Rattus norvegicus: one gene and its partner. The protein of the gene in region 2 interacts with the protein of the main gene of each other region in a biochemical or structural test. Links are inferred from orthologs where the notes say so. Each region holds a gene or a part of one and is shown on either strand. Other genes may lie near its edges. The genes, in order: Mecp2 and Prpf40a.

The links.
Region 1: the proteins of Prpf40a (region 2) and Mecp2 form a complex in vitro, tested with the Homo sapiens proteins (2 studies listed by BioGRID, with this or other methods). The link is inferred for Rattus norvegicus from reciprocal best matches to the Homo sapiens genes PRPF40A and MECP2.

What each region holds. Positions count from the first base shown.
Region 1 is NC_086039.1:156,985,918-157,000,788, reverse strand, and holds the start of Mecp2 (methyl-CpG-binding protein 2), read left to right. Parts: upstream 1-4,886; 5' UTR 4,887-4,895; coding exon of another isoform or gene 4,896-5,005; intron 5,006-5,083; exon of another isoform or gene 5,084-9,964; intron 9,965-10,453; 5' UTR 10,454-10,551; coding exon 10,552-10,577; intron 10,578-14,871. UniProt on the Homo sapiens protein: Chromosomal protein that binds to methylated DNA. It can bind specifically to a single methyl-CpG pair. It is not influenced by sequences flanking the methyl-CpGs.
Region 2 is NC_086021.1:58,091,831-58,106,912, forward strand, and holds the start of Prpf40a (pre-mRNA-processing factor 40 homolog A), read right to left. Parts: upstream 6,680-15,082; coding exon 6,515-6,679; intron 5,588-6,514; exon of another isoform or gene 5,587-5,587; coding exon 5,455-5,586; intron 4,025-5,454; exon of another isoform or gene 3,993-4,024; coding exon of another isoform or gene 3,945-3,992; intron 1-3,944. Other genes in the region: Arl6ip6 (ADP-ribosylation factor-like protein 6-interacting protein 6), read left to right, coding at 7,643-8,033, 9,197-9,250.

The DNA of each region.
Region 1 (14,871 bases), on a different chromosome or scaffold from region 2:
GCTCAACCTTCCCAGATTTTGTCTGGTGAAACAGTGCCCCATGTCTCACAGGGTTTTACTGACTGACAAAGGAAACTAATGATGCAGCTCTGCCAGAGGGGGGAGGGGGAGGGGGAGTCTGAGATAAACTTAAAATTCAGGGTGTTCAGGTGTGACCTGATCCACCACAGGTGGCAGTGACCACCAGGCTGTTAACAACATCCACTATCCAGCGTTCTGGGTGGAAAAGAGGCATATACATTTCTTCTGTTGATGACACGAGCCTGCCTGCAGCCTTCACATCCCTGGTTTCTGTAGTCCTTGTCTGTGAGCACAGAGACTTCATGCCCTTTACATCCATCGTATTTAAAGATGATTTAAAGAGATTGGCCCTATCACTTGCATGAAACTCACCAAACAGGCTAGGCATGCTAGCCAGCTAGCCTCAGGATTCTGCTTGTTGCCTCCCCAGTACTGGAAAAAAATTACAACACATAGCTTCATGCTTAGATTTTGTTTTAATGTTCTGAAGATTGAAATCAGGTTCTCATGCTTACACCACCAAGCACTTTGCCAACAGAGTTAACTTTTACTAAAGTTTCTTTATTTCCTTTTAAATGTTGGCACTTTTCTTTCACGGCTAAATTTTATCTATCTATCTATCTATCTATCTATCTATCTATCTATCTATCTATCTATCTATCTGGATTGAGGAGAAGGAGAGAATGAGCCACAGCATACATGTGAATGAAGGTCACAGGACAATTCATGGAAGTTTTAGATACTGGGACTTGGACTTAGGTCACCAGGCTTAGCAACAGGGGCCTTTACCCACTGACTCATCTTGCCAGCCCTGACACTTTCTTTTGTTTTTTCAGGAGTTTTAAGAGTAAAGAAGGGAAGCTTTGAGAACATGTACATGCAGGCATAATTTATTGTCTCTTTCTGTTTGACCTTTAAATATGTATTTGTTTTATTTTATGAATAATGAGTGTCTTCCTGTATGAAAGGGATTAAGTTTTGTTTTGTTTATGAGACAGTGTCTCATGTAGCCTAGGGTGGCCTTGAACACATAATGTAGCCAAGGATGACTTTGAAGTTCTGATCTTCTTGCTGTTACTTCCTGGGTACTGGCTTTATAAATGTGCACCACCACAGCAGGTTTATGTGATGCTAGGGATTATCCCAGGGCTTTGTACATGCTAGGCAAGCATTTTACCACTGAGTAACACTTCCAGCTTCTGGGGCAGTTTATTGGTGTGTACAATGGATGAATGGTTTTAGGAGATTTTACATAAGTATCTACAAGCCAAATTGTGTTTATACTTGTGTATATGGGATGTACTCTTCAGTATTTTGGACTGTGTCATCTTTTTCATTTTTATTTGTCATTTTGGATTTATTCTTTTAAAATATGTTTTTCTCCATCACTCCCACAGATTTTTAGGCAGACAGAGTGGATGTGTGTGTTCTATTTTCCATATTGCTAAAATTCTACAGTTTGTTGAGGTATATACATATAGTATGTTTTCCTGGTTGTAATTGCCCCATTTTTTATGTTGGGGATTGAATCCAGGGCTTTATAAGTGGTAGGCAAGTGCTCTACCATTATGTTTTATCCTCGGACTCTATCTCCCCATTTTAAAGGGATGTTATTTTTAAATGCTACAGTCCCATTTTAAAAATGGTTCCTTTTAATTCTACTACTAAAATACTTTGGTGCTGTATGTTTTTTTTCTATTTTTCAGTGCAAACATAAATTATGTCATTTACATCTCTTTTATCTAATTTAAAGAAGTTAAAATTCTCTTCACAAAATTTGAAAAATGTCTTGTTTTCTTGTTTTGTACATTACTCTTCTCAATGCAGAATTGCCTTATTATAACCCATAAAACTTTGGGACTTTAATTTTAGTTTTTCAAGACAGGATTTCTCTGTGTAGCCCTGGATGTCCTGAAATTCAGAGATCTGCCTGCCTCAGTCTCCCAAATGCTGGGATTAAAGGTATAAGCAACCATGCTAGGTTCAAAACTCTTACATTTTGGGGCTGGGGATTTAGCTCAGTGGTAGAGCGCTTACCTAGGAAGCGCAAGGCCCTGGGTTCACTCCCCAACTCCAAAAAAAAGAACAACAACAAAAAAAAACTCTTACATTTTGATCAGGGCAATCTCCAGATTTGTTAATGAAGCACTTACATTTTTATGTTGACTCTTCCATTCCAGGAATGTGGTAGTTGACTTTTTTTCCACATCTTTTAAACTATTTCAGTAAATTTTTATATATGTTTTTACATTTCTTTAAATATTTTTATTACATGTATTTATTATTATGTATATATGTACACGAGCATTCAGATGTTACAGTGTGAGTGTGGAGGTCATAGAACAACTTTCTTGAGAGTAAGTTCTCTTCCTCCATGATGTGTATGCTACGTGTCACTCAGGTTACTAGGCTTGGCAGCAAGTGCTCTTATCTATTGAGCTGTCTCAGAGAGCCAGATTTTTATATTTCTTAATAAGTTTATCTCTAGACTTCAACCCTCCCATTATATTGACAACATTTTATTACTAGCTAGGTTTACATGCCTGCACCCTAATACTAAACATAGACTAATGACCATTTCTCCTCATAGTGAAGGGCCAATTATGAGATTATAGTAGAAAAATGACATATTTTATTTTTGAAAATTATATTGCATTGTAGATCTTGCTCTATTTCTTCCTTTGTTCTCAATTAAATATCATGTTTCATCTACAGTTTTATAAACATCTTTGATCAGATTAAGAACGTTCTAGTTATAGTTCTTTAAGTTGTTTTTAAAATCATAAGTAGGTATTGAATTTTATCAAATGCTTTTTCCTTCATGTATTGATACTCGCATGATCTGTTCTTAAAATTGTAATTGATTTCTAATTTTAAACCATCCTTGTATTTGTGGACTAAAACTCAGCCTGGAGGAGAGGAGGCTGGAGAGATGGCATGTTGCTCTTGCAGAGGACCCAAGTTCTGATCCTATCTTCTGCATCTGCAAATACCTGCATGCTCACACCCCAACACACACACACACACACACACACACACACACACACACACACACACACAATCACTCTGAGATTATATCCACTTGTTTTTTTTACATTTATCTATCTTAGTATTTTATGTGTATGAGTATATTTTATGTGTCTGTGTGTATTTGTGTGTACTACATGTGTGCTTAGTACTCACTGTGGTCGGAAGAGGGCACAAGATCCCCTGAGGCTAAAATTACAAATGGTTTTGAGTGGCCATATGGGTGCTGAGAATCCTCTAGATTTCCCCATTGTAGTAAAAAACATTCACTTAGGTGATCCTGCCCCAAACTCAGCCAAAATCCTTATTTTTTTCTTTCTTTCCATCTGATATCCAATACTTTTGGCTCAATTTAGAACATAAATCTTAAATATCACAACTTATCAGAATTCATCTGCTATTGCCCTAGTTAAAGCCATCATCATCATTATCATCATCATCCCCCTTCTTCTTCTCCCCACCCCAACTGTTGTCAGGACCTCTGGACTGGCCTGTTCTCCATTCTTCACTGGCAACATAGGTTTTATGATGCCAGCTAGTGACTCAAGTATCAAGGGCTTCTCATCTCAAAATAATCTCCCAGTTCTTTTGGTGACCTAAGTCTCTCTCCAGTCACACTGGCCTCCTTGGCAAGACATGCATAGTCCTTCCTTAGAGTGTTTAAACTTGCCTAGAATGTTTTCCCCAGTTACCCATATTGGGGGATGACATGGGCAAGTGCTAGAGGTTATCAAAATAGCACTCCTTTCGCTCTTGCCCTATTTCAAAGTCTTTATGAAAAATTTTAAATTCTACTTACTTGTATGTTTAGTATGATTCTTTCTTACCAGGATTCTAGTCTGTCTCCTTGTTCAGTACTAAAACAGTGCCTAGCAACTAAATGAATGGAGAGGGGAGCCAAATTTGAATCCAAAAGTCTCCTATTGAGCACAGGATTAGCACAAGGAGCATCGAATGCTGACTAGTATAAGGGTAAGGTTGCTTTGACAATCCTGACACCTTATTACCTAAACCTTCCCTCATACTCTGAAATCCAGATTGCTGGATCTCAGGTCTTCAAAGCAGGGCTGCTTCCTCTGGGCTCACTCTCTTTTATACTTACTTCAATCAAACCTTCTGATTCAACAATGACAGACAAATCTCTTATTAGCTTGGCATCTGACATCTGCCCACTATAAAGGTCTGCAAAGACCAGGATTTGTTTGATATGTTGATTTTACTGCCTTAAGAGTGCTAATTAGGTGGAATAATACAATTGGTAGAGCCTTTAAAACAAGTCCCTTGGCTTGGAACAACATCAGGCTCCTCAACAGGCAACTTTGCTGCTTCTACAGAAAATGATACTAAGAAAATGCTGGTGCAGTTAAATGCTTATCACAGCGTGCCCGATGCGCTTGCGGATAGAGGGCAGGGCGGTTCTAATAGGCGACAAGAGCCTAGACTTCCTTAAGCGCCAGAGTCCACAAGGGCCCCGTTAATCCTCAACATTCAAACGCTGCCCACAAAACCAGCCCCTCTGTGCCCTAGCCGCCTCTTTTCTCGAAGTGACAGTAGACCTCCACCAATCCGCAGCTGAATGGGGTCCGCCCCTTTTCCCTGCCTAAACAGACAGGAACTCCTGCCAATTGAGGGTGTCACCGCTAAGGCCCCGCCCCAGCCTGAGCTCCACAGCCAATAGAGGGTAAACTCGACAAAGCGCTGCCGTTAGGGCGCGGGCGCGCAGGTGCAGCAGCGCCCAGGCTGGCCGGGAGGGCGGGGCGCGACGTCGGCCGTGCGGGGTCCCGGCATCGGTTGCGCGCGCGCTCCCTCCTCTCGGAGAGAGGGCTGTGGTAAAAGCCGTCCGGAAAATGGCCGCCGCCGCTGCCGCCGCTGCCGCCGCCGCCGCCGCCGCTGCCGCCGCCGCCGCCGCCGCCGCCGCCGCGCCGAGCGGAGGAGGAGGAGGCGAGGAGGAGAGACTGTGAGTGGGACCGCCAAGGCTGCGGGCGGGGACCCTTGCTGGGGGGGGCGGGGGGTAGGGGCGGGACGTGGCGCGGGAGGGGCCCGCGGGGTCGGGCGACACGGCTGGCGGATGGCGTCCCTCCTCTCTACCCTCCCCCTCTCTCTGTCGCCGGTGGTGGCTTTCTCCACTTGTCTCCCGCAATTGCGAGCGACGGTCCTCAGCGCGATCTCCCTCGAGCCACCTTCGAATGACGCCCTCCCGCTGCCCGCTGCCCGCCCCATCTGTGCGCATCTTGGGCCCCAGCCTTTGCAAGCGCCCTTGTCGTCTGGGTTTCGCCAGTTGGGGCTGTGCGCGCTCCTGCCCTTCTTGGGGTTTTGGGCCGCGGCACTGCCGCGCGCCCGCGGTCCCGGCCTCTCCCTGGATCGCGCTGTCCCCTCTCCCTCGCGCGCCCCCACTCCCGTTACTCGCTCCCCCCCCCCACATACTGGCGCGCGTGCGCAGTCCATCTCCCGTTGGGAGAGTGCGCCACAAGGGCTCCTGAGCTCTTACCCCCATCTCTGGATTTTGCTCCCTCCTTCTCCTCTCCCATTCCATGACTTTTTGCCCCCACTGCAAGCGAGTCAGTCCATCAGCTCCATTCCCCACTTGGCAGGAACAAGTTGGGGGTTAGTGTCCACCCACAAAAAGGACTAGACACTATGTTCCTAGGTCCCACAACTCATCATAAAGAGATGGTTGTAGTTCTCATCAGGAACCGTGGGCTAGGGACTGTGCGTTCCTCAGCACTCGAAGCTCTTCCGTGAGACCATGCCCGCAGGGTGCTCTGGTTCTTTGGGGATGCTGTACTGTGGCTTCGGAATATGAGCGTCTTCCCACCCTCCCTCCCCTCCCTTCGCCAGCGATCATCCAGTTACATAAGTGGAATGGGACTTTGTATGTAATGGGCTCTCTTGGTCCTGGAGTGCTCAGGATCTCCAGTACCAAACATCGCTATGACTCCTCTGTCAATTATCTCTGAAAGTTCATTCTCTTTTTAGTTCGGTTATGACTGAATCACTTAAAATAAAACACAGGTGACTTTTATGTGTCAGTAGCAATGTTTCTGAGGTTTTGCACTAAAGGTTTAATCAATCGTGGTGGAGTCTAAAAAGATTCGGTTTCACAAGAAAGACCCTGGTGTGACATTGTTAAGTATGGACCCCCGCAGGGCAAAGCTTGCTAGGGAATACCTCTGTGCTAGTTCTTTGTATGTTCCGGTAAAGGTTCATCAAAACAAAAATGGGCTCCACCATAAAATTGATATTCCTGACTCATAGTCAGGGAGATATGTACTCCTGGTTAATTTTCCAGGAACACAAATGGGCTCTGTTGAGTCATTTGCATGTCGTCTTCAGTGTTTGGAATCATTACCCCAAACAGTGAGACAATAATCTCAAATATAGGGTTGTTGATGGCGATCATGAAACAGAATGAACTAATTTATAGTGCTAAGTGACTGAGATGTTGTAGGACTCTCACAAGTTCTAGATGTTTTTGATATACTACGTAAATGAAACCAATTTGGGCCTGGGTAGTAAAATTTCACTAATAGGTAAATTATTATTGTATTTTGGGTTTGTGGTTGGATTTATGTGAATCTCAGCAATTTCAATTAATAACATGATTTAAGCTGATGTCTTAGGTTCTTTGAAATATGTTGGATCTCTATAAAAAAAAGTTTGGACTGTTAGGTCCTTGGGGAATTTCCACCAAGGATTTGGAAAAATATATTTATAGGCTTTGGTTTTTTGTGTGTTTGTTTTTAACTTCAAATTCAAGTCATACTCAGAAAGCCTAGAAAACACTTGCTTTTATCTTCTTACCTGGGTATGTCAGAACCTTAAAGAATCCACACACTTTAAAAGTACAAATGATCTAAAATGAGTTAATACACATAACCCATTCATTAAACAAATTGCTGACCGACAGACAGAGTGCATTCACTTTCACAAACACACCCAAAAGATTTCAAAGTTTATACATTTGAGCCTGAGCTCAGAGTCGAAACCTTTACTTTGTTTTCATATTCTGTAACATGTTTGCTTCCTCAGGTGCCCCTCGGGTTAGCTATTTGTTTTACTCATAGCTCTTTAAACATTGTAAGCAACTTTTAAAACAGTTTCCTTTCAAAGTTCCTGTTGACATCTGAAGTTAGTGTGTCCTAAGAATTTGAAGAAACTATATGACTTTCTTGCTAGTATTGATCTATCACACATGCCTATTTCCTTTCCATGAGAATGTGTCTTGAGTGCTTTAAAGCTACAGTAACAGGTTCCTCTTTCACTGAAGAAGAAAGCATCATGTAGACGTTGTACTCCAAGGATTATTTTTTTCCTTTTTGTTGTTATTGTTATACTGGTGGTTAGACCCAGGACTTCATGCTTGCCAGGCAATCACCTCATATCCTTAGCTGCCTTCTGTTTTTTGTGCTGTTTGAATCCTGAGGTACACATGACCACAAAGACCACACGTAGACCACAAAGGTTTTGGAAGCTTATTATATGTTTTTGCAATCTGTGTTTGTATTTTCCAGATAGAGTTGTTCCCTCTGCCTGATCTGCTTCTATGAAGCTTAATCTATTGGGGACAGGGAGACAAAGCTATGGAGTTTGAAGGAAAAACCTGCTAAATTCTATGTTCTAGTGCCCCAACTCCACCCATGCACTCCTGAGAAGGTTTTTTTTAACCTAGAATAAAGAGCAGCAGTGGTAAACTTGTTAGTTTGTTTGCATGGTAAATGATGTGTCCTGGAACCTGTTGTCTTTTCTAAGGGTGAAATCTTTCTAAAGGTGAAATCAGTGAGAATCTTTTTTTATTAATTATTTTCATATATTTCATCCCAACTGCATTTTCCACTCCTCTCCTCCCAGACCCTCCTCCCTTCCCCTTCCCCATCCACTCCTTTTCCCTTCAGAAAAGGGCAGGCCTCCTAGGGATATCAACCAAACATGGCATATTAAGTTTCAATAAGACTAGACACTTCCCTCATACTAAGGTGGCCCACTAGAAGGAAAGGGATTCCAAAAGTAGCCAAAAGTGTCAGAAAGAGTTCCCCACTCCCTCTAATAGGAGTCCCACAAAAACAGGTCACTCATTGGGGAATCTTTTAATTGGCTAAGCAGTTTACCACTAGCGAACTAGACCTGGGAAACATAGAATCATGGACAATGACATTGTTAGTAGCCAGTGTTTTAAGCACAGCCTTGACTGGAGTGTGGCAGAATACATTTTAATCACCTGTTCTAGTAACATCTGTGCAGATCAAGCCATGTGACTGACAGAATCAACCTTTTTAGTTGGGTAGAGAACACTATTGTTCTTCCAAGGGAAAGACATTGTCCTCAGCACCCATCACAGCCTTTTAAAATCACTGTTGTCCAATTAGAGAACTGCACCTGCTCATTATTTTAGGGAGGACCAGTGTGAATCCAGTGGCTCCCTGTTTCTGGGGCTTTCTTAGACAGAAGGTGTGTGTGCTCTTCTGCTTCCTACAATCTCTTCTGCCTTTCTCTTCCAAGGAACATTTTCCTTTGAAAGTTTGACTTCAACCACTTTCATGGAAACTATAGTGTATAGAATGTCTGAATGGTGGCAAGACTCAAGAGAAGGCAGACATGCCCACCACCATGTTAAACGGCAAAGTATGGCCTTCTCCTGGACACTTTGCTAGCTCTGCTGGTACTGTGGATGTCTGGACTCTCGTTACTGGCCAAGTCTCAGTACAAGTGTGCTTATCTTTTCCTAAGAGCTGGGGGTATTTTAGTATGAATATTTTTGTTGGATTTTCACCTAACTGTATTTATTTTTAGCTTTTTTCTCATGAAATCTCAAACTTTTTTTTAAGAACTTAGAATAAAGATTAGTCCAGCTTCCAATGAAATAGGGGCTGAAGATATAGGGCATAGTCATTTGCTTCACATGTGCAAGGCACTGATTTCAGTTCCATCCTTACAAAAAATAAAATTGCAGGTAGGTAAAACTGTGGTCTTGAGAAGTTGTGACTTTGTAGGCCTTCTTAAACAAGGCACTGGTTTGATTTTTATTAGGTTGCTATCCAAAACTAATTAATTTTGGCATTTCAAACTGTTCCATAACTTAATTCTATGATTTAAGAAATTATGGGAGTGAAGAGGTTTTGCTGAGCCTTAAAAGATAACTGTAAGCATCATCAAGGGACTTGGTTGCTGTTGCCCTTCCTCTGGATTCGACCCCATGAGTGACTATAATAGTCTTAAGTTGTACAGTATAAGCCTTTCTTTTAGTGTAAAGATAAAAGTGTTATTACTGGCAGAGCCAAGTGTCTGAAATTACATATTTAGGCAGTTTAGGCTTTAACAAGGAAATGATGATTAGCTTGATGGCAACAGCCTTATTGAACATATGTGCAAAAACAAGAGAGACTGAAGCAGGAAGATCTGAGTTTGAGGACAGCTTGAACTACATAACAAAACTGCCTCAAAAAGCAACAATAGATATATATAGAGAGAGATGGCTCAGCAGTTAGGAGCACTGGCTTATTTTCTATTACCTTTGTAGAAGCTCACAATGGTCTAATTCTAGTCCGAGGATCCATCTTCTGGCCTCCACAGGCACTACATGTGGGTAGTGCGCAGACATACATTCATACAAATGCTCATACACATAAAAATAAATAAAATCTCAAAAAAATTAAAGAAAAACAATAACAAAAAAATCAAAAGAACCCATCAACTCAATGTGTTACAGACATTGAGATTTACTGATTTGAGAGGCTTACAGTAATTGGTTAGAGAAGGATTTATATAGTTTGGATGATGGCTTTGGATCTCCTGGTGCTTTTTGTCTTTTATCTCAAGGTGAAAACCCCTTTGTGTGATGTTAGAGCAGTTCCTTGCAGCTTTGACTGCTGGAAGCAGAAGAGAGACTTTTGCCTCTGGATTTGGTTGTGTTCTTTTTGAGGTGATGTGTGGGTGTTTTTGTTTGTTTGTTTTGGTTTTGGGTTTTTTTTTTGTTGGTTTTTGTTTTTTTCTTTTTTGTTTGTTCTGGGGGGTGTTGGGGGTTGGATTTGGGCTTTTTTGTTTGTTTTTATGTTGAATATACTCTTGAACACTCTTGAACACGTTCTATCATTGACTTTTCCTATATAATGTGGTGGAAGAAATACTTAACCAGAAATCACCACTTGTGGTATGCATTGTAGTTTCAAAGTGTTCCCCAGAGGTGTAAAGACCTCTGATAGTGTCAGTTCTGACAACCATAAATCTTGTTTTTATTTTAGCATTTTATGTTATGTGGCAGTAATTTGCAGTTTATTCTTTGCTTCTAATTAGCTTAGCTGGGAAGTAACATAGTACTTTGTCTGTATTTATCTTCAGAATGTTCCAAAAAGCCTTGGGAAAAAGGTGCAGCTCAATGGGGACTTTCAACTTACAATTTTCTTTGTTTTAGGCTCCATAAAAATACAGACTCACCAGTTCCTGCTTTGATGTGACATGTGACTCCCCAGAATACACCTTGCTTCTGTAGACCAGCTCCAACAGGATTCCATGGTAGCTGGGATGTTAGGGCTCAGGTAAGTAACCTTCCTTTTTTTTTTTTTAGTATATGTCCTGGTTTGGCCATCTGTTTTTAAAAAAAAAAAGGAAAAAAATATACTATTCTTGGACAGTATGAAAGTACCCCAAAGACAAAAAATATAACTGGGCCAAACTGTGCCATATAATAAAAAAAAGTCACTTCCCTGAGCCCTGAAAGTTCAGTTCAGTTTGGGTAGAGTTCCTTGGTAGCCACAATGTGATCTGGGGGGTGGGTGTCAGATTAGAGCTGGAACTGGTGATCTGCAGCTTCAGTTCACCTTGAAGCAGGAGAGTGCTTGTCCTGAGCTCTTCACCTGTGCTGCTGCTCTTACCTAGTGGTCTTCAGCATGATGCTTTCTTTGATTTGGTTTGGGCTAAATGACTTGCAGGTCAATGTTAGCAAACAGTGGTGTACTGCATTTTCAGATATAGGAACTGGTATGTGGTCCCCTAGAAGAGCACCCTTCTGAAAGTGTCATAGCACAATGGAGCCTGTGGTTAATGGTACTTGCTTGCTGAACTCTGATGGAGTGCACCCAGACAGATGTGCAGCTCTTGGGATTCTAGAGCAGGATAAGTGCTTTTAGAAAAGCTGGAAAGTCAAGTCATTTTTAAACCTGACAGATCTGCTGCAGTGTGAACTACTATAGTACCATTGTGTGGACTTTAGTTTTGCAAGAGTGAATTGTTCTGTTATTTCTTATCCTTTATCAGGCTCAAAGCTCTCAAGCTTTTTTTTTAATTAGTAATTATTCCACATTTGATATTTTGTCACCTGTATTTGTGTGATAAAACAGATAAATCCAATTAAATTTTCCTATTTTCTACAAGAGAAAATGTTGACTGTTCACACATGCTGCATTGTGATTCTATTTGAGATTCCCCCTATTAGAATTTTCTGTATCTCTAGATTTATTACACCTCATAAAGCTAATATGTACAGACATACACACACATATACATGCACCAAATGGCTGATTTATCTGGGAGAGTGAGTTTTGGGTGAAGGAGAATAGAAGGAAATGAAGATCATAGCACTGCCTCCAGGTTCTGGATTTGATTCTGTTCCTGATCCTGTGACCTCAGTTGTCATTCTCCTTACTATGATGAGGTATACTCTAAACCTGGCTGATGTTCTTTGTGCTTCACATATTTATGCTGGTGGGACTTATATGGCTAGTGTTTTGTCTTGGGAATCCTACCAAATGTAATAGAAGCAATGATGGGTTTCTTCTGGTAGATGTTTGGCTGGGAGTGGTTTGTGTTTTTTTTGTTTTTTTTGTTTTTCCCGGAGCTGGGGACCGAACCCAGGGCCTTGCGGTTGCTAGGCAAGCGCTCTACCACTGAGCTAAATCCCCAACCCCTGTGGTTTGTGTTTTTTAAAATCTTTTTTCTCAGTTTATGAATGCCTTTAGGAAAAAGGCAGTAATGACACTATACATGTTTCTCCAAAGAAAGGGTGGATTTTTTTTTTAGAAAAATTTCTTACTACTTACAAATGAGAAAAACAACTGAACTGAAATGTTCAAACAATAGAACTTATCTTTTCTAGAAAAGTATATATCTTTTCTTCTTTAAAAAAAATGCCAAGTATGGTAGTATACAACTTTAATACCAGCACTTGGGACACAGAGATAGGTAGATGGATCTTTGTGAGTTTGAGGCCAGCTTAGTTTACATAGTGAGTTCCAGGCTAGCCAGGGCTACATAGCAAGATCCTGTTTCAAAACAAACAAACAAACAAAAACAAACAAACAAAAATGATAAAACTTTAAAGTAGAACTTCTTCACGAGCCAATCATTTTGAAGAATCTATCTAGACTTGGAGGTAATGGTAGGTATTGGCCCATCCAAATTGCCTTTCCAAATGGCAATCAAAATTTTTTAAACCAGTGTTCTTTTTGTTATTACTGAGTTGAGCTTAAGTAATTATTGGCCATTTGTATCTGGCTGATGTGAATTATATGTTCATGTTTCGTACTCATCCTATCTGGATATTTTTTATTAATTTTTAATTCTGTGTGTGTGTCTTTCTGTGTCTGTGGGGTGCACATGGAAGGTGAAGGGGTGCATATGAGTTCAGGTAACTGCAGAGGCCAGAGGTAGATCCTCTTGGAGCTACAATTATGGACAGTTGTAAGCTACCTCACATGAGTGTTCAAAAACAAACACAGGTCCTCTACAAGAATCACAAGTGATATTAGCTTCTAAGCCATCTCTTCAGCCCTCAAGATACTTCTTTTTAAATGGATCTGTAAGAAGCCAGGACCTTGTACTTTCTAGATCCACTTAACTGAATACCTAACCTCCTTGGCTTTCTACTATATAAAATCTCAGGCAGCCCAGTGATTGGCATAGAAGGTTAAAGATACTTCCATCAAGCATAATGACCTGAATTTGATCTCCAGAAGCTACATAGTGGAAGGAGAGAATCAGCTCCTCCAAGTTATTGACTCCCACTGTCCTTAGACTGTAGCACACATGCAACATGGACACTAAAATATATGTTAGGATTTTATTAGCTCTTAGAGTTTTCTGGGGGCTGGAGATAGTGGCGTAGTAGTTAAGAACATAAGAACACTTGCTGCTCTTGCAAAGGGCCTGGATTTAGTTCCCAAAACTCAAAAGGGTTACTCTTGTTCTGGGGAATCCAGTGCCCTCTTCTGGTCTCCAGATGCATGTGGTGCATAAACTTACACTAGACAAAACACATAAAATTAATTTTTATACAAGAAAATCTTTTTCTTCTAAGAGTTAGTTGATACTCACTTTCATTTTCTTTCTGAAAAGATTGATATATTTCTGATGTATACATATTAATGCACCATAACTTCCTGTTTGTCCACATTCTTTTTAATTGATTTTTAAAATTCTGTGTGTGTGTGTGTGTGTGTGTGTGTGTGTGTGTGTGTGTGTGTGTGTGTTAGGCTAAGGGAACATTCGGCTTAGTGGCATGCCTCTTTATTTATGTCTCTCTAGTCCCTAGGTAGTTTTGAGTTAGCTTACAAAATGATGGTTTTATTATAGTATTTTCGTGTATACTCTGTTGCTCATTCTTCCCCATTCCTTTTCATGTTCTCCTGCCTTGTCTTCTGGTCCTCTCTACAGAATCACCCCTCCTTTTCTGGTTTCATGTCACATGTAGTTTATTACCTATTTTCCCTTAAGATTGCCCTGTGTTTTCTCAAATACTGGTTTTTGTATTTAACTCTGAGGTGGGGTGGTTTCTGGAGTATGCTTGGTTTTGTCTTAGCCATTTGGTGAACAAGTCATTCACTTTTCAAATTATTATTATTGCCATCCACATCCAGATCTCTTTTATAAAGCTGCAGTTCTGTGCTCATTGAACACTAATTCCCACTTTCTTCCTTTTATCCCCATCCTTTGCTAAACCACTATCCTACTGGTTTTCAATACCAGTCTAGTGCCTTACTCTGAATGTTAATGCATGTGTGTTTTATGTATTTTGTATGTTTACACATGTACAAAATTATATGGGAATATGTCTTTTACTTGAACCATAAAATATGGCACATAGTTGCAAAACTTGCCTTCTAGTTCATGTATCTTGGAGATTGTCTGGGATTAGTTTATACAGAACCATATCATTCTTTTTAACTGCTAGAATAAAATAGTCTATTTATGGGATATGCTATAATACATTTAATTGATTTTCTATTAATGGATGTTTGTGTTTCTAGTGGTTAAAATGTCATTGACTCCACCATGGTATGGTGGTATACAACTTTACTTCCAATACTTGGAAGGCAAAGGTAATAGAATCATTGCAAATTTGAGGCCAGCGTGCTCTACATAATGAGTTCCAGACCATTTAGAGCTATATAGCAAAACCTTACCTACCTCAAAATGTTGATGCTCTATGTCTTAGTCAGGGTTTTATTGCTGTTAAATAGAGTTTATTGCATGGTCACTATGACCATGACAATTGTTATATAGAAAAACATTTAATTGGGGTTGGCTTACAGTTTCAGAGATTTAGTCCATTATAATCATGGCAGAAAGCATGGCAGCCTACAGGTAGAAATGGTGCTGGAGAAGGAGCCAAGAGTTCTATATCTTGTGCAGAAGGCAAGCAGGAAGAGACTCTACATTGAGCAGAGCTTGAACATAAAAGATCTCAAAGCCTGCCTACACAGTGATATACTTTCCTCCAGCAAGGCCCTACCTCCTAATAGAGCCACTTCTTATGGCTAAGCATTGAAACACATAAATCGATGGGGCCCAAACCTATTCAAACCATCATACTATACATTCGTTCCTGTAGATTCT
Region 2 (15,082 bases):
CACCAAACCCATTTTAAGCATGCTAAGAAATAACAGATTTAAGCCCACTAAAGCAAATGTACTATCTTTATTAACTGCTAATTAGAACTGAACATAGCATAAAGTAAATGAAAGGTAACAGATGGTCAGTTGACTAGACTTGTATCTACAATATTTCCAAGTGCCCAGGAATATTCTGATACTTTCAGTAATTCCAGATGATGAGAGTCTTTTAAAAGTCTTTTAGTATAAAGCCATGAATTTATACTAAGAACATTAATAAGAGACATAGCTGTCTAGCAAAAAATGAAGGTATAAGACAACCAAATGAAAAACTATGAACAACTTCAACAAGAGAACATAATCTACCCATTCTTACTTATAACCCTTCAAAACAGGTCCATTTTTCTAGGTAAACAATGAAAAAAAATGTGTGGTGGGGAGACCTTCTAGTACACATCTGTTATGAGAAAGTTTACTAAGTGTTCGTAGTACTTCTCATGATTGAAATGCTACTAGAAAGGTGGTGGGCAAGACAGATAAACACCTAGCCGCATTTTCAAAACTTCCTGCAAGACTTCCCAATAACTTAGTATTTCATGCATCTTAAAGAGAGAGATAGTCTACTCTATCAAATTGAGATAAAACTTCTTGGATCATTACGAACATTAAATGTACTGGATCTCAAGTTTTGAGTGAGTTCATATTTAAATGCTAAATAGTTGCTGAAGTAAGCACGTCTACAGTCTTACTAGTAAAACCTATCAAAACTGAACCACATCGTAAAAGTGAAGACATTTGAGAGCAGTAAATGCGAAGAAATTACTAGAATTGGGAATTTCAAGTAACAAAAATAACATAAAAATTATGTCATTATTACAGTCATTTTAATGACTGGCCAATATTAAAAATAAAATAAATTATCTCATTAGTAAGATAAATTTAAACACCAATGGACTGATTATCAATGGACTGATTATCTCTGCAAAACCTAGTACAAATCACTTTTATATTATAAGGACCTATATGGCAAGATTACATCTTCAATGATATTACACAGCTAGAAATGCATGTCCCTACCATTAAGTGTTAGTGTTTATATTTCTTTACCAAAACAAAACCCAAAAATACCAATTTACTTCATTTTATCTATTTTTTGTTAAATGAGAAAGCCATAATGAATCTCATACTAAAAGCAGGGACAATGTAAAGTCACAAGTAACCTCTAGATACACATGTATCAGTTACTTTCTAGTTTACATTGTAGGAAATAGTATCTACTCATTTCATTCATTCAACAAGTATTACTGAGCACCCAAAATGCACCAAGAAATGTGCTCAGCAATGACAATTCTTAACAAGAACAACTTAGTTCTTGCTTTCTAAGACTTTATAACTTGTTAGGAAAATAGCAAATCAGAAAACATTAAGGGAAGGAAAATGTCACTAAGTGCCAAAATAAAACTGTAAAAATTCCAAGCATATCAAGATGTTAAATAATTTAGAGAGGAGGTAAACAGTGTTCAAAATTATTTGAGAAAATAATTGAGGCAAGCAAAGATGTCATGGTGATAGTAATCCTGAAAGCAAGAATACAAGGACAGCAGTATAAGTTTAATGTCAAGAGCTAATATAACCATTTAAGGCACCATGAAAAGATTAGTATGAACTCGTATTAGGGAGTATAAAAACATGCATTACTGAATGTTGCTTTGACGTGTATTACAGAGATCTTTCAAATTTAAAGCTGTGGAATTTAGACACTAGGTCACAGATATACAATATTTGAGATTCTTAAGCAAAGAAATACATTTCCTTTTTAATTTTTGAGAGGAAATAGAAATAGCCTTGAAGCAAGAAAACCAGCTCAAAAACAGTTGAATATCCAAGGCCTAGGAATAGGACAACCTGGGCCATTACAGATTTGTGAGTTTGTCTTCTCAGTATTAAAATAAGAAAACCAAATTCATTTGTAAGACATAACTACTCACTAATGTATCATCAAAAAAAAAAAAGGAAGAAAAAAAAAGAAAAAAAGAAAAAAAACAAAAACAAAAAAAAACAACAAAAAACCAAAAATCACCCCCCAAAACCTGAAATTTCCTAGAAAGAATTTGATTTCCAAATCAATCCAGTCAGAAAATTGAACCACAAAGTGTTACCTCTGGAACGGAGCTCAAGACTTCATTTCACTCTTTTTATAAATTGGAAGAAAGTTAACACTCAAGAACAGAGCTAGCTATTAAGCACTCTGTTGGGCAAAGGCAAAATCAGCTGATTAAAGATAACAAAATTTAATGTTCTTCATTAAAAAAAGCTCATACAAAAAGAAAAGGACGAAAATGAAGGAGGAGAAGAAAATACTTTAAAGACAAAACATGCTTTATTCTGAATGGATATGAAGAAAGACAGCTTCAAACACAACCATACTTAGAAATTTTTACTGGAAAGTTTTGAATAGTGTCACTATACAAAAAAATTTCAGGAAATACTTAAGAAAAAAAAAAGACCCACTCCAAAAACAATTACTTATATACTATTTAAAACTCATTTATTTGATTTATTTGTAAGGTCCCTTTCAGCAGTATACGCTTTTAATTCTATAGCTGACAAGTATAACTTTCCCCAAATGTTATGTGCATCAGTAGGTAATAATTTAATCTATATTAAAGATAAGTCTGAAAGAAATTATGGTTAAGTTATGCTTGCTATTTCTAGGTACTTACTAATAGATTCAGCCTGAACTGGAAAAAAAAATGGCTCTAGTTTCAACTTTGCAAACCCCCTTTTAAGCCTAGATCATTACTGCCTAGTTTGCATACTGTTTTATAAACAAGCTTTAAATGTCTTGTCATATTCAGTAACATTTCAAAGACCACAATCATCCAATTTTCTTAAGGGAACTTAAATGTGGGCAGTGTAGCAGATAACTGACAGTAGGCTGACCTGTTCCAGGATCCTGTGTATCAAAATTCAGACTTTCACCCTTGCATAAAAAAGTCCATAATATATGCATATAACCAATGGACATCTTGTATAGTCTAAATCATATCTAGATTACTTATGCATAACATGATATACATGCTCTCTCTATAACTATATAGCTGTTTCATGTGTTAAATGTTAATATGACAAGGAAAAAATCTGCTTGTGGTCTGGAAATTGTAATCTATTTGTCATGAACTATAAGCCCATGTTAGATGAAACAAATAGACATAGAATCTTGCAGTTATAAAGGATCAACTATTTTTGAAGATTATATAGCCCTTGGTCCCAAAAATCTGAAAATGTTTTGAAAAACTTTGGATGATAAAACTATACATTCACTGCCATGAGTGGTATAGGCACCCTGCTACTTGTCAATTATCTTCTCATTATAATTACTATTAATAATCCTGAGTATATGCAAACAGAAGAAATGATGCAGGAAAAACAATCAGTTCATCTTTAAGAGAAAGTTCAGAGCTTTAAGAAAGATTCCTAGAGTCCTCAAGGATTCAGCTTAGCTTTACCATGAGCTAGAACCCATGCTGTTAGCTAGGAAGGGGCACTGGATAATGATCTAATTTTGAGAGAACAACAGCAACTTTCTTGAGACTTTCAGATCTGGTCTCCTAAAGTATTCATTCATTATCCTCAGAGGAAGATGCTAAACATTTAAATAATTGGGTGTATTTAATGGTGTATAGAACGTACTGGACTAAAAAAAAAAATGTAGAAAACCATGAAGCAAAATTCAGAATATCTGAAGTGTGTAAGTAGCAAGTAAACTTATTAGGAAAGTGGTCACTGGCACAGCCAAAGAGAAGGGGCCATAAAACAAACTGTGACCAGTGTATGCCAATTACTTAAAAAAAAAAAAAAATCTGCACTATACTAAAAATGACTAGCTGGCATCTCAGGTCTGCTAGTGCAACAGCACCATTACAGCAAGGGTAAGCAGGTCAACCCCTTGCAAAACTTACCTTGACTGGCCCAATGGAAACAGAAGGCCCCAGAAAAGAAAGAAGCATCTGGCAGTAGCAAATTGTTTTATTTTATCTTTCTGTGGAAAGAAACTAATTTTAAATAAGAACCAGAGCATTTAAAGAATAAATATTTTTTAAGCTCATTATCTAGTTAGAGCAGCTCTATCAAGAAAACAAGAAGGGTTTTGTGCTGCTTAGAGATGGAAAGATACAGAAGAAGAATCAAGAGTTGTCTCTGCATCTCCTAGGGAGCTTTAAAGTATTGTTATTCTAGAGTAACAGAGCAAAGAATCTTTTATATAAAGAACTCCTGCAGGCAGAATCTTTTCAGTCTGGTGCCTTTGAATAAAACTTTTTATACAAAATTAAGGGCTATATTCCAAATATAAAAGAAAACCACTTAACATTGAACCATTCTACTCTTAGAAGTAAAATAAAAAGAAAAATACAACAAGCTCCTGTTTCCGCTGCAATTTCACCAATAACTTTAGCCTTCATTGCTTAAACCATTATCAAACTCCATAGTACTCATTAGCAAAAGAAAATATACAACTGACTTTCTAAAATATCTGCTAACCAAAATATTTCATGACTTATCAAGATACTCAATTGGAATAACCCAGTCCACCCAAGACTCTGTGTATTATAGCACCTAGCATAGGACACAACTGTTCATGGAACTGAAGCTCTTGACTTTCTTGAACATTTCTCTAGAAATCCTACTACCAGTGTTACGAAGTCATCTCAAAACCTTTTAATCCAATCACTTCTACAAAATGTCCATTTACAATCTGTGCTAGAGATGCAAGGGACAATGCACAAGTAGGAGTGTAGAAGCAATAATCATTTCAAAAATTAAGTAGAAAACGAGTATATACCTATTTGGCATGGTCCAGGGAAGAATTGGTAATAGAGTAGAAAATCCCCACACTCCCAACAAGAGGAAGATACTACAAGAATAAAATTCATTCTAAATGAAAACCCCAAGTAACTATTATTTTTCTGATGCTACGCTTTACACATTCACCATGACTGTCTTCTGATATTTACTTCTAGACCATTAATAATTATAATGCCTGAAAGAAGTCACTAAGTTAAATAGATTAGCTCTATACTGTCACTTTAGATTGTTTGCTTAATTCTCAAGATAGGGTTTCTCTGTCTTGGAACTCATTCTATAGACCCAGGCTAGTCTTGACCTCAGAGATCCACCTGCCACTGCCTCCCAAGTGCTGGGATCAAAGGCGAGCGCCACCACCGCCGGCTTAAAAGATTATTTTAAATCTTAACTTTGTTGAGGAAATCAGTTAATTTTTTAAAATACAGTCTTACTCCATTCAAAATTTGGTTACAGACATGATCACCATAATGCTTGTCTTGTTTGACCACATTATATGGATATAAACTAACCTTTAAACATCTGCAAGTACAACACTGACTCACACCTTAAAATCTTGAGACAAGCAAACAAAAATAAGCAAGCCAAAGTAAAAAAACATCTTCTTACTTGTCCCATTGGAGGCCCTCCCATAGGAGGCATCATCTGTGGCATCATTCCGTGAGGTACAGGAGGCATGTTTGCTCGCTGACCCATAGGGTGCATGCCCATTGGTGCATAATGCATGCCAGGATGCCCCATCTGAAAAACAATGAAAAGTAAGAGGTAAGACACAATCAATGTTTCTTTAAACTGTCATTTCAAAAACAACGACTAAAACCCATCAACTGAACTGAAAGTCAACTAAGTCAATGTGATTAAACTACAGGATTAGCATCTAGTAACGTTAATCTAAAATATACTACAGTGGTTATTATGAGGAACCTCAAAATTTACAAAATATGGGGAAGTTAATCCCAATAGCGGATTAAAATCCCTCTCCGATGACTTAGCCAACTGTCAAATGACTGGCCAGACTTGGTGTCTATGTATTGAATTCTAACTTAAAATTATTACGGTGAACCCAACCTTGTCACCTTTATACATATACTCTGTTTATACTACTTAAAATTACATTAATTTGGACGAGGTCTGATCATAAAACAGAGTGGGTACCCAAGAGTACTTCGTTAAGGAACGAATGTCTTAATATAGTTAAAATATCAAAGACTGTCATTCTGTCCCAGACACTAAATGCAAATAACAAATTCATCCATTTTAGTGAGCTAAAAATATAGTACTTCCATTGTTCCTGGCTTGAAACTAAGTATCCGCAGCCAATTCTCCCAACCAAATCCCCCAACCGGTGCAAATCACCACTACTCCGGAGGAAAATAAACTGCAGCAGCCTCTCCCTACCATAAAGCAAGCCTGGGGCTTTCAGACGTGCAGTCCGCCCGGGGCCCAGCACCTCCCTTCCTAAGGCATCTACTTAGGCCAAGACCACTGGCAAGTCCAAGGTCCCACATATTTCTTTGTGCGTTCCCGCCCTCTATTTCTCTCCCTTGGGACGTAGCCCACCATCTGGAGCTCTCTTCCTGGTATACTCGTCTCCTTTTGGAGAAAGCTTCCTGTTTCTCTGACTCGGTTTTTCATTGTGCCGCTTTCCCCTACCCCGCCGATCCCTTACCGAGGGCCGTCTCCTCAGGAAGCCGTCAGCAGAGACCCAAGAACTGGAGCACAGGTTTGAGCCGGACAATCTCCGCTCCCCGTCCCCGGGACCCCGCGAGGGAGGTTGGCTCTCCATTTCACTCACCATGAGGCCTCCACGCTCGGCTCCAGTCCCCGGCCTCATCGTCGGGCTCAGACTGCTCCGTCGGCGGCCACTGCCGCTACACATACCAACAAGAAGCGATCTGAGTGGCTGGCGCCCGCTGGGGCCAAAGGGTAAAGGCTGCCCTGAGCTGCGGGGCGGGATCAGCGGGGCCAATAAACTGACAGGCTTCCCTACTGTCCAATCAGAGCGCGATACCGACACGCAGCTCTGCGGCGATTCGCCCCCAGCCTCACTCGGCGTCGCCTGCATGGAGAGGGGGGAGGGGGATGGAGGAAGTTTCTGCGTCGAGTGCTCTGCCGGGGAAACTCTACCAACTTCCCCCAGGAAAGGGGACACGGCGGGGACCCAGATTCCCGGGTTTGGGCCACCGCACCCCGCCGGGGGTGTGGCAATGGCGTCGTGCCACCTTCGCCACCCCCCCGCCCTAGTTACGTTCGCCCCACAAACCTGAGGCCACCAGGGGTGGGGTGGGGGCGGGGTAAGCGGCACCCGGCGTTAGCGGCCTAGTGCGCGCGTGCGCGCGGTTGGCGTGGGGAGGGGTCGTGCCCGGGGTTCGCCGGTGGGGGGTTTGGGGGGTACGGGGCTTCAGAGCTGCGCGCGCCCCAGTGAAGGATGGAGGCGCGTACTGTAGTTGGCGGGGAGTTGTAGAGGCGGAGATCACTCGCCCGAGGGAGGAAGCGATTGGCGGTTAGGAAGCCGCGGAGCTGAGCGGGAAGCTGCGGTTATGGGGCTTGGACGGTGCGTGCCAATAGGACCGGAAAGGGCCGAATAAATTAAGCAGTGCTTCTCCGCGGGCCACGGGCGCGCGCTCACACGGCACATCCGCTAGCGGAGCTGCCTGGAAACCCGCTGGTGCACCCCCCCACCGCTCTGCGCTCGGTGGTTGGGTCCGCCGACGGCCGCCGCTGATTGGCTGTTGTCGGGGAGGGGCGTGGCGGTGGAGGACGCTCGACCTTCGCGGGTCTCTCAGTCTTTCCCGCCATGTCCTTTGTGGAGAGTTGGAGGTCTGTAGGCCCGCGTAGGCGCCGTCAGGTTACCCCAGGCCCTGTCACTCGGTCTGTGTATTCCGACTACACTCAAGGGAATAGCTGGAGTGAGGACGGAGACGAGGGATGCGACCAAGTGGCCCGCGACTTGCGAGCAGAGTTCTCGGCCAGGGCGTCGTCGGAGTCCAAGAGGGCTCCGCTACTCCCACGGATCGGGGACGGGTCGCCGGTCCTGCCGGATAAGCGCAACGGCATCTTCCCGGCGACTGCGGCCAAGCGAACCCAGGCTCGGCGGTGGCCCATCCAAGCCCTTTCCATTCTTTGTTCGCTGCTGTTCGCCGTCCTCCTTGCTTTTCTCCTCGCCATCGCCTACCTGATCGTTAAAGGTACTGAGATCCAGGCCTTGAAAGGCTGTCCAGCATAAAGTCGAGCCAGTACATCACACGCCCCCATTCACACTTTCCTCCCAAAGCTTTCCCTCGAAACTGTTACGGTACTTTGTCGTCCCCCCCCCCCCCCTTTGTCTTCTCTCCTTAGATGGGCGACCCTGCTCCATAATGAGTGTAGAAAAGATCCACACTCTTAAATGCTGTAAAGGCATTGAATCCTTGAGTTGAAACATAAGTACGGCTTATGTTAATCAGAGCCCCTTTTAAAAGGATCAAAAAGTGTATGTAACAAAAATAGGCTGTTGATGTTCTAAGGCTGAGGTTTAGAGACGTGCTGTGTATACGCTTTTCTCTGATCCTAGATACATTGAAGGACAAGGATTTCTCCCCCTCATCCCGGGTTTCTACTTTTATAGGCAAATGGTTTTTCTTTGTAACCAAGTAGAGTTATTTCAGGACAGTCTGTTCTATATACTACTTAGTCAGAAATTGGCATATGTTGTCCAAGTAGGAATGTTCTGAAAGACGCTCTTCCCTTTACCCCATTGGGATTTGTTGTATGGTTTAGTATTTTTTGAAGTGGAAAGAGATTTGAATTTAGTTAGTGTTGCTTTTGCCAGTTCTTGAGAAACTGAAACATGAAAGCAGTATCTTGTATTAAAAGGATTCAACGCTTTGTGATTCTCCTGTTACCTTTACGAATTAAACTTTAATCTCTCATTTTCCCCACCCCCTAATGGGCTGCAGGTGGCCCTTGAACAGTTTTTTTTTTTTCTCTCACTTCAACCACGATAGATTTGTTGTGCACTTAGTTTATTTTTCTTTTACAATAAAGTTATATGTCCATAAGTAGAAGTTCATTTCAGAGGACATTGGTATTTTGGAGAATTGAGTAAAGAACTGAATTCAAATTCTGTTATGCCCTTAAGTTTCTTTGTACAAATTGTCTTCAACACACCTAGGAGACTATTCTCATGTTTATGGAAATCGGCTCTTGTAGAGGTAGTTGCTTGAAGGTAACTGAGGTGGTAAATCAGAAATTTAACTTAGCTCTGACTTCAGGGTACTTTTGACAACTGAACAGTATCTTTGCTGACTTTGGATATTCATGTCAGGAAGGAACACTACTCTTCTACCTAAACCTCTCTTTGTGTTTACAGAATTGCATACAGAAAACTCGAAAAATGAAGATGTCGTAGATACGGGGCTGTTAGGTATGAACTGATAATTTTATTAATCCGGTCACTTATTTTGTTTTTCCAAGTTATGTTTAATGTTATATAGGCTTTGGGATAAATATTTTATATATACCACGTATAGCTGATTCAGTAGTGTTTTTTATTTATGTGTTTGTGGTAAATGTTACTATATTTCCTTTATAGATATACATTTAGATATTTTTCATAATTTTTGTAATTTTAAATTGAGCCGCTAATGCAATTGTACAGTATTCAGTATAACTGCATGACTTTGGTCCACTAAATTCTTAGTTTCTGATTATGTTTTGGAAAAAACTCCCTATACTGCTGCTTCAGGAATTTAGAACTAGAAACTTGCTCACAAATTTAGACAACATAAATAGTATCTGAACCAGACTTCAGAAGACTTTATTGTTCACATTTTAGTAAGCAGTTTGTCTTTAGATAAAAATTTTTAAATAAGAATTATTTCCCATTAGCATCTAGGTGAATCAACTCTGTTCCTATTGTCCAAAATGTCATACATTATGTAGTTTTTAGCTTCCTACTGAAGAGGGTTATTGATGTTATCTGTCCCTTTTATAAACAAATTGAAAGACTTTAGTACTTTACCTATTTGATATATTTTACTATTAAAATTCAGGAATGAGGAAAACAGCATTTTTACAGCAGAAGTAACTGCCAAGACAAAACCCTGTATGAGCCTCTGATCTAGTGGAGAGTAAATTCAGTCACTATCACTTAATAGGTTTAACTCATTCAGATTCATGGGAATTAATTTTAAAGTAAGCATAGTTTGGCTTATAGAAAGTATATTTATTATATAGCATTTGAATGGGTAATCTTTTCCAACAGAGAAGCATTCTTTAAAAAGACAACTGTCTCAGGGTTGAGTGTGTTGTACTTCAGTGACAGACACTTTGCTTAGCGTACACGTGTTCTGATCTTCAGCACCACCCAGATAAACAAACACGCAAATGCTTGTCTCAGAGAAGCACTGCAAAGGTTATTGAGTTATTGAGGCAGTTGTGATAATGCTTGTCCTTCTGTTTCTGAGTTTGAATTCTCATCTGTTTGGGAATAAATGCACAGCCGGCTTTACAAAGTATGATAAATTGATAGGAGACCTCTGAGTAAACTTTTCCTTAACAAAGACAGATAAAAGGAGAGGCCAGTTCTAGTAAGGGTCCCTGAAATCAATGATAAATCTATTAAGATACCAAGAAAAAAATGATTCATAATCTTACCACAAGAAAATGACTTAGGAATTACATCCTTATTCTCTTTACAATTGATACAAAAGTTTCAAATGAGGATATGAGGAAACAGCCTAAGTTTTGAATAAACATGTTGAAATTATCAGCTAGGTTATAAAAAAAGTATTTTGTACTGTCTTACGGTTTCTATTGTTGTGAAGAGACACCATGATCATGACATTTTTTATAGGAAAACACTGAATTGGGAGCAGGCTTACAGTTCAGAGGTTTAGTCCATTATCATCAGGGTGGGAAGAATGACAGCACACAGGAATATATGGTGCTGGAAAGGTAACTGAGAGTGCTCCATCTGGATCAGGAGGCAGCAGGGACAGAGTGAGGCACTGGGTCTGGCTATACTATCTGAGACCTCAAAACCCGCTCTCAGAAACATACTTCCTCCAAAAAGGCCACACCTCCTAATAGTGCCACTCCCTGTGAACCCATGGTGGGGGGCATTTTCTTTCAAAACACCACATATACCCTTGTTGTGTGAGAATGATTTTATCATTTTATATTTACTAGACATTTTAGTTTATTACTTGTCTTTTGGCTTAACTATTGCTATTAGGTCTGTTATTTTGGTAGTAGGTTGATTTTCTAGAAAAAAATAACAAGAGCATAGTAAGTGCTCAACCTTGAGAAGAGTTCTTTTTCTATAGACTTAAAAATTTGGGGTTGGGGATTTAGCTCAGTGGTAGAGCGCTTGCCTAGCAAGCACAAGGCCCTGGGTTCGGTCCCCAGCTCCAAAAAAAAAAAAAAAAAAAAAAATTTTGACCCCTGCGGATATTTTTAAATACTGATCTAGGGCTTGAATAAGTCTCAGTAAAGTAAGATGTAGCCGCAGGAACAACATTCCTCATTTGACGTGTGTACTTATTAATCTGGTGACTTGCTTGTATTTTTTTTTAAGCTACTTTTAAATTATGATTCAGGCCAAGGTTAGGTCCAAGCATATTTGCTTTTATGAATAGTTCTGATGCAGATACTCAAAGGACCGTGGGTTGAAAACTACCTTTAAATAATCGAACTAGGTGCTGTGTGAACTAGGTGCTGTGTCTGTCCCCAACACACACACAAACTTTTCTTTCTTTCTTAACTCAACTTTTTTCGAAAATGTATTCAAGAGTGATTAAAGGTCCTGGGAAGTAAGGGCTGGAACGGTTCAGTGGTTGAAAAGCATTTGCTGCTCTTGCATAGGACCTGGATTTGATTCCCAGCCCCCACATAGTGGCTCACAACCATCCTTAACTCAGTTCCAGGCTGCCCACCACGCTTTTCCTGACCTCCAAGGGCACCAGGCATGCACATGGTTCATAATGTGTGTTCACAAAAACAAATAGTAAAGTAAAATAAACCAGAAAAAATTCTGAAAGGTAAATTGTAACAGAGTAGTAAACAGTGTAAGTCTTAATACTTGTTAAGACATCTTCTTCTAAAGTTGCTAAGGTACTGCAGTGGGCTGAGTCATCTTTGTTTCCATGAAAAAAATTTCTTCATGGGTAGTCTGTTTTTTGTTTCCAGTTGTGGTTTTTTTGTTTGTTTGTTTTATTTTATTTTGTTCTGTTTTGGTTTTGTTTTTTAAAAAAGGTTTGTTATGAAGCAATAGAAGATCATTTGGGAGTTATTTTTGGATAGGGTTTCTCCGTGTAGCCCTGGCCTTCCTGGAATGCTCTTTGTAGCAAATCATTCCTTTTCCAGGGACGTTAATAAAACTATACATTTCACTCACTCCTCTTTTAAAATTGTTCTGAGACCAGATTGATTGTGCTAAACATACAATGTCGAATTACTTAATTTTGCCTCTTGGCTTTTGTATTTGTTGTAGTTTTCCAAGTTTTGTCACATTTGACAACTCAATGTTGCAGTATTCCCTGCAGTCTTTAATATTTCTGAGAATGTAGCATGATAACCTTTCATTTTAGGCAAACTTAGAAAATACTAAGAGAAATACATGAAATTGCCTTTAGCAGAAAATACTTAAAATACAGAAAATACTTAATCTAAAATATGCAGAGCTACGTGTATCACAGTTCGTACCATATAAACATTATATTGTGAAATTTGATGGAAAGCTTTTAGTGACTTATGAAGCTTCTAGACTAGGTCTGACTTATGTTCCTTAGACTCAGTTACTTGGGAAGATGAAGATGATAGTTTGCTTGAGCTTACACTCTCTGGACCAGCCTGCATAACATAGGAAGACTCCTAGTTCAGAAGAAAACAAATCAACTGACCAATGTATATGCATACACACTCACTTATAAACACAGCTTCTAAACATGATTGTGCCTATCTCTCATTAACATTTCTTAAATTCTATATGTGGTAAAGACCTGATTTCATTTATTTTTCAATAACAAGTTATTCTTGTTTTTGAGCTGCTCAAATAATTTGTGTACCTGACAAGTTTCTAGGACTTCACTCATGTTGAGGGAAGAAATAATTGACAAATACTGAGTTCAATCTTAAGTGAAATCATTGAAAATTTAAACTTTCTTTTTCAGAGGACTAATGATGTTCCTACCATCATGACTTTATCCTATCAAATTTTAGAAATATGATTAAAAGTTTCATAGAGAAGTTCTGGAACTAACCCATAGTGAAGTAGATGTTAAGAAAAGCTAAATTCTTCCTTAAGTTCAAAAATTATAAACTCGGAAGTTGGCTTAAGGTATGATTTTTCTAATTAAACCCACACACAAACTATTAAGGAAAAACACATTTATTTGTACTTGTGCTGGGTAACGCAAATATTTCACCTAAACGTCCACTGTTGTAGTACCACCTTTTAAAGATTGTATGACCTCATTAAAAAATAAGTAGAGAAAAGAGAAAACAAAAGTCAGCAGACTGGAAGGATGTAACAAAAATGACAGTTTATCGGGGTTTTGCTTATAGATTGTTTAATATTTGTACCAAATGTAACAGGAATGTCAGAAAGAACAATCCTTTCAAAAGAGCAAAACTTCAGCCAGGCTTGGTAATGCTGATTGGGAGGCAGAGACAGGAGAATCAGAAGTTCAAGGTTTTCCTTAGCTATGTAACAGTATGAAGGCCAACTTGGTCTCTAAGACCCTTTCTTAAAAAGTAGTTGTAAGAGGAAGAAAAAGCACAATTTTAAATTGACTTAAATTAATATGTTCCACTGTATACAATTTTTTAAAAGTTTAACATACCGAGTATGCCAAAAATGTTAATACCTTTATTTAACATTTTATGTCCATCAATATGTTAGTTCAAAAAAATGCATGAAGCTGTTTGCTCTGGTGTATTGAAAAAGCAGGTGGAAAGAATATAGAGTCAACAGAGTTGGTCATTAGTAAGTTGTTTAAAGTTGAGTGATACTTATGAATTCATCATACTTCTCTCTCAACTTTTTAATGCAAAAAGTTTATAGAAATACAATTCTAAATATTTATCTATAAAGTAACTGAATCTTCAAACTAATTTATTTTGAAAAGTGCACTAACAAATGAAATTGAGTACAAAATCTACACTCTCCTTTTCTTTGCATTGGTTGTAAACAGAGTCCAGTAAGTTTCAGTTCATGAAAAAGATGAAGCTTCTTCATTGTATCAACTAATAAATTGAGTTCAAGAGACGATAGCTGTATGTACTTAGGTCAAGATCTGTACTTTTGAAAGCAGTTCACACTGAAAATCTGTAATATCTGTGTAATGTGCTGAGTCCCCAATGTGATTTGCAACATCTTTTTTTGTAATAGTGAAAAGACTAAAATCTATGTTATGAGACTGTGTACTGATAAGAAAAGCCTACACCGACTACTGCTCTTTGAAAGCAGTAAAATAAGATCTTATTTCTGGATGATATACAGATAAGATCACTTCACCTGAGTTCTTTGTATGTTTATTCCCAGTACCTGCCAGCTTTTAGGAAGATGCAGCAGACTCTGAGTTAACTAACATAGCTAGCATATAGGGATGGCATAAATCACAGGGGAAAGAAGACTTCATTTTCAGTTTTTAATCTCAATTAAATACTAAGTTACATCAATTTCTAAATAGTATTCAAATGTTGCCTAAGGATTAATTTTGGTGCTATCATGACAAAATTGTTAGAGTTAACTTCTGTTTTTTTATTTATTTATAGATGAGATTTGTAAGTTTTAGAATCATAGGCACCATTAGACTACAGTTTCAGTGCAGCCTTAGTCTTGTTACTGTGACATAACTTCTCAGTCATGCAGCTTTTGATTATTTCAGGTTGAATATAAAAGTAGTTAAAATGTCCATGATGAGATAGCACTGAGATTGTACAGTAGTAATTAGTATGGACAATCTCAAGAATACTTTTTGTGTGTTTGAAAAATAGCCCTATTACTTTTTGACTAAATTCAGTTATATAAATAGTAGCCAGAGAAAAAGGAGATTGCTGCTCGCAAGAATAGTAGTAGTAAATGTGACAGGAGTGCTCTGAAAACTCTGAGATTTTAAGTGGCCAGGTACTGAGTTGTAAATGTTATTTCCTTCTTTACCTTTTTTGGTATCTAGAAGTTTTATCATTTCATCACAGTTTGTAATCTTGAATTTTTTTTCTTGATTAGTTGTTTTAGAGACTATAAAATTAT